2 linked regions of the Xenopus tropicalis genome follow. The protein of the gene in region 2 interacts with the protein of the main gene of each other region in a biochemical or structural test. Links are inferred from orthologs where the notes say so. Each region holds a gene or a part of one and is shown on either strand. Other genes may lie near its edges.

The links.
Region 1: the proteins of spi1 (region 2) and irf8 form a complex in vitro, tested with the Homo sapiens proteins (3 studies listed by BioGRID). The link is inferred for Xenopus tropicalis from reciprocal best matches to the Homo sapiens genes SPI1 and IRF8.

Annotation. Positions count from the first base shown.
Region 1 is NC_030680.2:64,720,716-64,724,920, forward strand, and holds the start of irf8 (interferon regulatory factor 8), read right to left. Parts: upstream 2,801-4,205; 5' UTR 2,695-2,800; intron 1-2,694. UniProt on the Homo sapiens protein: Transcription factor that specifically binds to the upstream regulatory region of type I interferon (IFN) and IFN-inducible MHC class I genes (the interferon consensus sequence (ICS)). Can both act as a transcriptional activator or repressor.
Region 2 is NC_030680.2:15,874,808-15,878,307, reverse strand, and holds part of spi1 (transcription factor PU.1), read left to right. Parts: intron 1-2,768; coding exon 2,769-2,859; intron 2,860-3,135; coding exon 3,136-3,338; intron 3,339-3,500. UniProt on the Homo sapiens protein: Pioneer transcription factor, which controls hematopoietic cell fate by decompacting stem cell heterochromatin and allowing other transcription factors to enter otherwise inaccessible genomic sites.

The DNA of each region.
Region 1 (4,205 bases), about 49 Mb from region 2:
TTTCAAACTACTGCCTGGTTGCTAGGTTAAACTGGACCCTAGCAACCACATACCATCTAAAATACCAAACTGGACAAATAAGAAAACTGCTAATAAGAAAAAATGAAGACCAATTGCAAACAGTCTTAGAATAGCACTCTCTACATCATACTAAAAGTTCATGAACAACCCCTTTAACTATTTGTAAGTGGCAAGGTGTTACAACAAAGCCATATTTCAGCATTTGAGGAATGTGCCAGGATTCAGATCAGAATGCTACCAAATCTCAGCATTTTTGCAGGTTTAAGTCTCAGACAGATCTTTCGATGAATCTGTTTTGGATTCAGATTGGTATTCAGTCAAATGTTTTCTGAGATATTGGTATTATGGATTTGGTGCATCACAAATGCATATTATAATGCTATCAGCATAAGAAACATCAATATCTAAAATAATCTAAGCGTATAAATTACAGATGAAAGAGAGAACACTAGGGGTAATTCAGATACCAGGAGTAGGTTTTCCCATGCGCAGAAATCCAGGCTGCAACTCTTTTCTAAAATTCTGAGCTTGATGGCTTAGATTTTTTAAATATGAAAGGCAGCATACATATTTAAATATCCATAGGGGTTTGCATTCAAGGTTCTGTATTTATATTATGCTAGTAGTTTTCTGCAAGACTAGGTGGAGAAACATCAGGAATGTTTCCCTTCAGCTCAGTTGGAGGTTACCTGTTAAAAGGTAATGTTAAGATATTTGTGTGTGTGGTTCTGCAGGTCTGTGTCAAACTGTGAATTGTGAACATTTTACAACAGTACAAACCACTATATAACACTTAGAGCACTGCTAAATTCTGTGTTTTGAAATAAGACTGTACCTAGAATCCTCAGCTCATAGCTTTTTCCCCCAAAAGTCATATTAATGACTTGATTTCCATGCCATATTCTTAAGGGCTTTGGGAAGCTAAAAAAAGATGTAAAGAACCTGAATCTTGTTTAATACTCACGTAGCATACAGACATAAGTGGGTATGTGGGAGTTAAAGTCAACAGATCTTGTACCACAGTAAACTCAGCCGACAGCCCAAGGTACGCTAGATATCACACTCACTGTATGCTGCAATATTGCTCTTGCTGGACCAACTACTGTTAATTTTCATTACAAAACTACACCACTGAATATTAACTTGCTCATCATGCAGCACATAAACACCATGAGGCTATAACACACATTACACATCACAGAACAAAAGTATCAGTCTTACAGTGATTCAACCTCCCAACAAATATGCTAACAGAGTGACATACCTCCAATCCATCAGGACTGTGAGGTGTCACAATCTAACAAGTTCCCTTTTAAAACTTTTACCATCCCTTTGAAAGCATGCCAGTCTGTGTGTACACAATGCACATTTATTTGCAAGTTAAATTACACAGTGGTACAGTGTGCAGCATATGAGCTAGAAAATAACATCTTCTTACCATATTTGAATATTTGACAATAAAATAATGATTACACTCTTAGAAGAAACAGCATTACAAGTACATGAATGGTATTTGGCAATGTGCTGAAGCAATGTTTAGGTTTTTATTCTTAGCTAGTTCAAAGGCTGCCAGACACCCTTCCTTGTTCCACTTTCTATACAACCCAGAACTGATCTATTGTGATTAGTGAGCTAGCACAGGCACTTACACCAGCTAATCCAGCCCAACGGACAGTGACATAAAAAAGAAATGCTCTAAAATGTTTGACTTTCATCTATTTTATATGTCACTGTATATGACAACACAGTTCTGTAAGCTGCTGTGCACCTTCCTTACAGAGAAGATTTCTTACCTGTGAAGAGGAGCTAGTGAAACTGAAAAAGGAATGCTAAATATGTTCATGCAATATCATTATATTTAACAGCTAATTTATATTACTGGTTTGGAGAGGGATGGATAGAGATAACTCCTGGCACTCCACTATGCCTACTATCTGTATTTCTTATCAGCTAAGAATATTATAGGATTGGGAGAGTTTAGTAAATGCCTACACTTAAAGCAGGTTACATTTGTGTACAGTTTTCTATATGACCATGATGTTGTCAAGTCCCTAAATAAAAGCAATAAACTAATTTCTGGCCAGCTACAAGTAGCAACTACATATCTACCTGTATGGCTTCCAATGTAGTCCATTATCAGGCTAATTTCATTAGGAGCCACTGACACCTCTATCTGGCAGGTGGCATGTTTCATTGATTTTCATTGGACAAGTATTTTATAATGCTGCCACCACAGGCAAATTCATAAATTCTGATTAAATCCTGAACCAAGAAGCAGCATATGATCTCCCAATATTCTATAAACTTTAGTATCCTCAAATACACAGAATAACCCGCCCCCTATATTAGTCTTTATATATCTGACTGGACAAGTATCCTCTCCTGTTTACCCCCAGCATGGCATGCCACAGCCTTTACCCTGAGACCCGCAAGCTGTCACTTCTCAGCTGTCACAGAGCAGCTAAAGCTCTAAATGAATCCTGAAAGCTGTTGAAGCCGAAATTGCAGCTGCATGTCCGGGTACAGCAATGGGCACCTGTGCCACAGCTCTACGTGACCGACTGCTCAGTGAGAGCAATCCTTGCTCGCAGGAAGCACAAGGTTCTGCTGAGAGCACAGCTCTACCTGCTCTAGTCACGCAACTAGTGGGTACAATGAGAATGAGACCGGTACCTTTTTAATAGCGTTAGTGCCTCTTAGTTCCTTGTTCAGAGTGCCAAACTCCTTCACTGCTACTTCGTCAGTGGCCCTGGTTACGCAGCAACTCACAGCATTTTGACTAAGAGACGAATGAGCCCACCCCCTGGCCGATAGACACAACGCACGTCCAATAGAGAGGGGAGAAGGGCATGACAGCCGTCCAATAGGCAGTAAGTATCGAAACCAGGCTCCTTCTTTTAACTGCGGTCTTTTCCGAGAAACTGCAGTCCATTTGACCCGACTGACTATATTACATGCCTCCCACGGGCACTGTGAGGAAACCGACCCTAATTACCCGAAACCCTGCACTTCTACAGGAAGGCTCAGGTGGTCTCCTCTTACACGTGGTTCGAAGGAAATTTGAAAACCAAGTATTCTAGAAAATAGACAATACACGTGGTATAACAGAGATATATGTAACAGAATTGTGCGAATAAGTGACAAAATAGGTACAGTAAAAAGGCTTAATAATAAACTAATAAGCAATTGTTTATTTTATATTATATACAAAGTCTGGAGGTGTGGAGAATAATTTTTCAACCTATGTGGTTACACAGGGTGCCATAAGGGGAGTTTGCCAGACTTACATTATATACCTCACAAGGGCCAAACATGGAGCAGCTTCAAGAAACAACAAAAAGCATTTAATGTTTATCAGAGGCAGCCCAAGCAGGCTGGGCCCCTTAGACAACCCAGCCAGCCACCCCGCTCTTCCCCCTAATGCGCCAAGCAGCGGCGGGAGCCCCGGTGAGCCCTTCACCCCCCAGTCCGACCCTGGGTGGAGGGTGACTTTTTTGTTTGGGGAGGCTAGAGATGGGCCATACATAGACTGACCTAAAGCTAAAGTGAGACTTAGTGGATTCGCTGCTGCTGTACAAAATATCTCTTGCGGTTCCCACTAACTCCCAGGGATACTGTGAAAAAGTGCGGATGGAAGTGCTCTTTTCACCCTAAAATGCTTAGGATGTAAAGGTATTCATACATGCACTTCTGTGAGGGGATCTCCAAGCATTTGTTTTTGTGATCAGTTAGCTTAAATGTGTTTTAGTTTTATTGAGAGAAAGGCAGTGGGTTCTGACATCCCAGGCACATTATATACAGTCTGTATTTACAAAACCAGCACATTATATGCAGTGGGTCAGGGCCGCCATCAGAAATCACAGGACCCCTCACAACAAAATTTTCTGGGCTCCCCTCCCACATGGCCCCTCCCATCGGTCCAAAGGACACACAGACAAAAATATATCAGGGCCCCCCATACACAGTGCCCTCATAATGCTATGCTGACTAGGGCCCCCCTAATCCTATCCTGGCCCCAGCCCCCCATACACATAGCCCCCAATTGGCCCCCCGAAGACAGTGCCCCCAATTGCCCATACACAGTGTCCCCAAAGACAGTTCCCCCCTAACGCTATGCTGGCCAGGGCCCCCCATACACAGTGCTCCCCAAAGACAGTGCCCCCCAATGCTATACTGGCCAGGGC
Region 2 (3,500 bases):
GGTGAAAACCCACTTGTAAATCTCGAGATTATCTAGAAGTAGGAAAAAAAATCCGACTTTATCTCCTAATTGCTTAGTATGCCCCTATATGTCTATAAAGATTCTCATTCATGCAGGTCATGATATACAGTATCTATGAGAGAGCGTTACAGGAGAGTGTTGTAACCTTCCGAGATACTTATCAAATACGTTTCAGAACTAGATAGAACATGCGATATAGGGTGCAGTTCTCTAACAGAAACCCCCTGCTTTCCTCACTTCCTGCTATAACAGAGTTTCTAGACAGGAGGTAAGAAATTTATTTCCAAAACCCAAATTTCCAAACAAAATATTCAGTAGATTTAAGCTGGCCTTGGTGGGGTGCCATTCCCACTGATGAGTTGGTCTAGGGATCAGGCCTGTTCGAACAATGTATCTGCAGCTTCTCTTTATTTTAAAATAGCCCAGTAGAAAGGCAGTCATACCTATCTATCCAATAGGGATACCACCTGGCTGTTAAAACACCTGCCAAAGCCGGGGCCGGTATTACATATTTACCGGCTATATAGTTGCTGGTAAAATTTTAATATCACTAAATTTAGCTCTTGGCCCGCCCACCTAAGACCTTGACCCAACTCAATCTTAACTTTTTCCTTCCCCAATCTATCCTCCATCAATTCTCTATCTGCCTGATGCACTGTAGCACCACCCCTTTCTGGCCACACCCCCATTTATGTAATACCCCACCCCCTTTTGTCACTGCCCCCAGTCAGCTGATAAAACTAATCCCTACTATCCATTCAACCTGAGGGTGCATTGATTGGACAGAGTACCTTGTTGGGTCATTTATGGCCACCCTAAAGGTTAAGGCTAACAGATAAAAGATGCCAACTCCCCCCTCCAGGCAAGATATCAATTGAGCATACTGTAAGCCCACAATATAATCTGATCATTTGGTCAAGGCCCAATTTGGCCCTAAAGGTCCCCATACACGGGCCGATTCTAGCTACTGATATTGGTCCCTTAGACTGATTCGGCAGCTAATAGGCCCATGTATGGGCACTACCGACGGGGCTGCCTGACCGATATCTGGCCTGAAATCAGCCAGATCTCGATTGGGCAGGTTAAAAAATCTAGTCGGATCGGGGACCGCAACGGCTCGTTGATGCGGTCCCTGGACCAACTTTTCCTATACCCGTGTGTGTAGCCACTCATTTTTATCAAACTTGCCAAACAAGTGGATCTCAAAGTGCATAGCCAGCTCCCGTAATTATGCCAGCTCCCTTGGTATTCATAATGGTGAGAACTCATGACTGGAACCAGATTTACAATAAACAGTGCCACTATTCCAGGCAGTTCTAGAGCACTCAAGTTCTACTTCAGCACACAGCCCCATCCCTACTACCTCTTTGTATGCGCACTCCATTAACTTGAGTTCCTAGGGTTATTCCTTGCATTTGATGGGCATATACGCACATTGCCAATCTGTGAAATTCTTGGGATCCCCTACCCTTCGTAAAACAAGGGAGCCATTATTAATTAATGGGCACACAGGGGCGCACATTGCCCCACTATGGTGAATGAGCACTCTGGTTCATCAGTTCTGCAGACCCTATGAGATCAGTTCCTGCAACCTTGTTGGTCTTCTTCATACCCTGATGTGCACATACTATGCAAACATAGAGGAATTTGGTCTAGCCTGCCAAATGGGTGTTAGTATTTATTTCAAGTGTTTGCCATGCTGAAAGTGTTACCATCAGTGATTCCAAGTAACAACATGTAAAAACCAACACTAGAGGAGTTGTTAAGAAATGTGGCCGATCCCCTGCACGACAGTTTCACACCCCTCAGTACCAAGTACTTGCCTTTATTTCCAGTTACTGGGACTTGAAGAACGGACACACAAATAGATTTTTTTTCAGAATGTTGGGTTTCCTTTGTTTCCATTTTTATAAGGTTTTGCCGTTACTTTTTTGTGTTAATAAACATCTTGACAAAGAACTTTAGATCTTCCAGCCCAGTGTTTGGTGGAGACGGCAGCCAGTCCCCAGACACAAGTGGTTTTTAAAGGAACATTAAAGAGTGGGAGTTTGTGACCATTGCATTTGCACCCTGGGTCACAGTGAATCACTTTCTGACCAATGAAATAAGCTATTTGTAACATAATATCACACTTTATACTATTCGCACCACTGGAGTCTTGGTTCAATGCCAACAAAAATGGTTCTTTTATCTTTTGTTTCTGTTTATTCCCTCCTACAGCCAAAAATATACGAGTAGCTTAACTGGGTTCTGGCCAGAGGCCATAAGCATCTTGTATAATGGCCACCAAAATAATCATTTTATTGATGACTGCCCTATGCTGAAGGATCTACACGCTACGGCAGGGGCCCCCAACCATAAAAGTCCATGGAGGTGCCAAATAAGGGCTGTGATTGGCTATTAGGCAGCCTCTATGCACACTATCAGCTTACAGGGGTTTATTTGGTAGGAAATCTTGTTTTTATTCAACCAAAACTTGCCCCCAAGTCAGGAATTCAAAAATAACTCCCTGGTTTGGGGGCACTGAGAGCAACATCCAAGGGGTTGGGGAGCAACATGTTGCCCCTGAGCCACTGGTTGGGGATCACTGTGCAACAGTATCGCGCCTTTGCTTGTTTGGTGCTATGAGGGTTCTGTTTAACAAATGACTAGCGATGATCATGGAATCCATTAGGCTGGTTTTGTATGAATGATTCTGTAGCTACTGGTTAGGTTTCTGTCAGTGACTGGTCTATCTCCTTTCTCAGGCACATCCGGAGGAGCTGATCGCTTATGATGCCGAGCTTTACCGCCAACATCATGAATACTACCCGTACCTCAGTGACAGTGAGAGCCATGGTAAGCAAAAGGGACACTTGCACAAACTGTATTTCGCAGCAATTACCATTGTAGCAACCATGGCAAAGACCACACAAAAAAAATGGAGGGTCAAACTCTGGGCCTATTAGTGTTACAGCAAAGAACAGCAGAAAAGAGAACAGTTAGAGAATTCATTAGAGTATATTGAATTAGTTGCAAGGTGAATTGGTTTGCAGGAGTAATAAAATGGGTGGGCTGGATATTGAAAGCAGAACAAGGGATAGACTGCACCTAATGATACCAACTCTGTATCAGCTTCTCTCTTAGAACATTACTGGGAGTATCCCACCCCTCATCTACATGGAGAACTGGAAGGATTCCCTGATTCCCAGCTGACGGAACTGCAGAGTGTTCAACCTCCCCAGCTGCAGCAACTCTACAGACATATGGAGGAGCAGATGCATGTTCTGGAACCTGGGTTGCCCACGCCACACCCACACCTCAGCATAGGCCATCAGGTACCTCCTACCTCAGACACTGGCATGGTTCCTCTAATGAACACATCTTCCTGAGTCACTGACCGTCTGCATAAAATACATTTCTTATTCATATCAAGTAGAAACACTCCACAAATAGTACAGCCTAAGCCCCCACCCTCGTGTATTTATCTCCCACTGTCC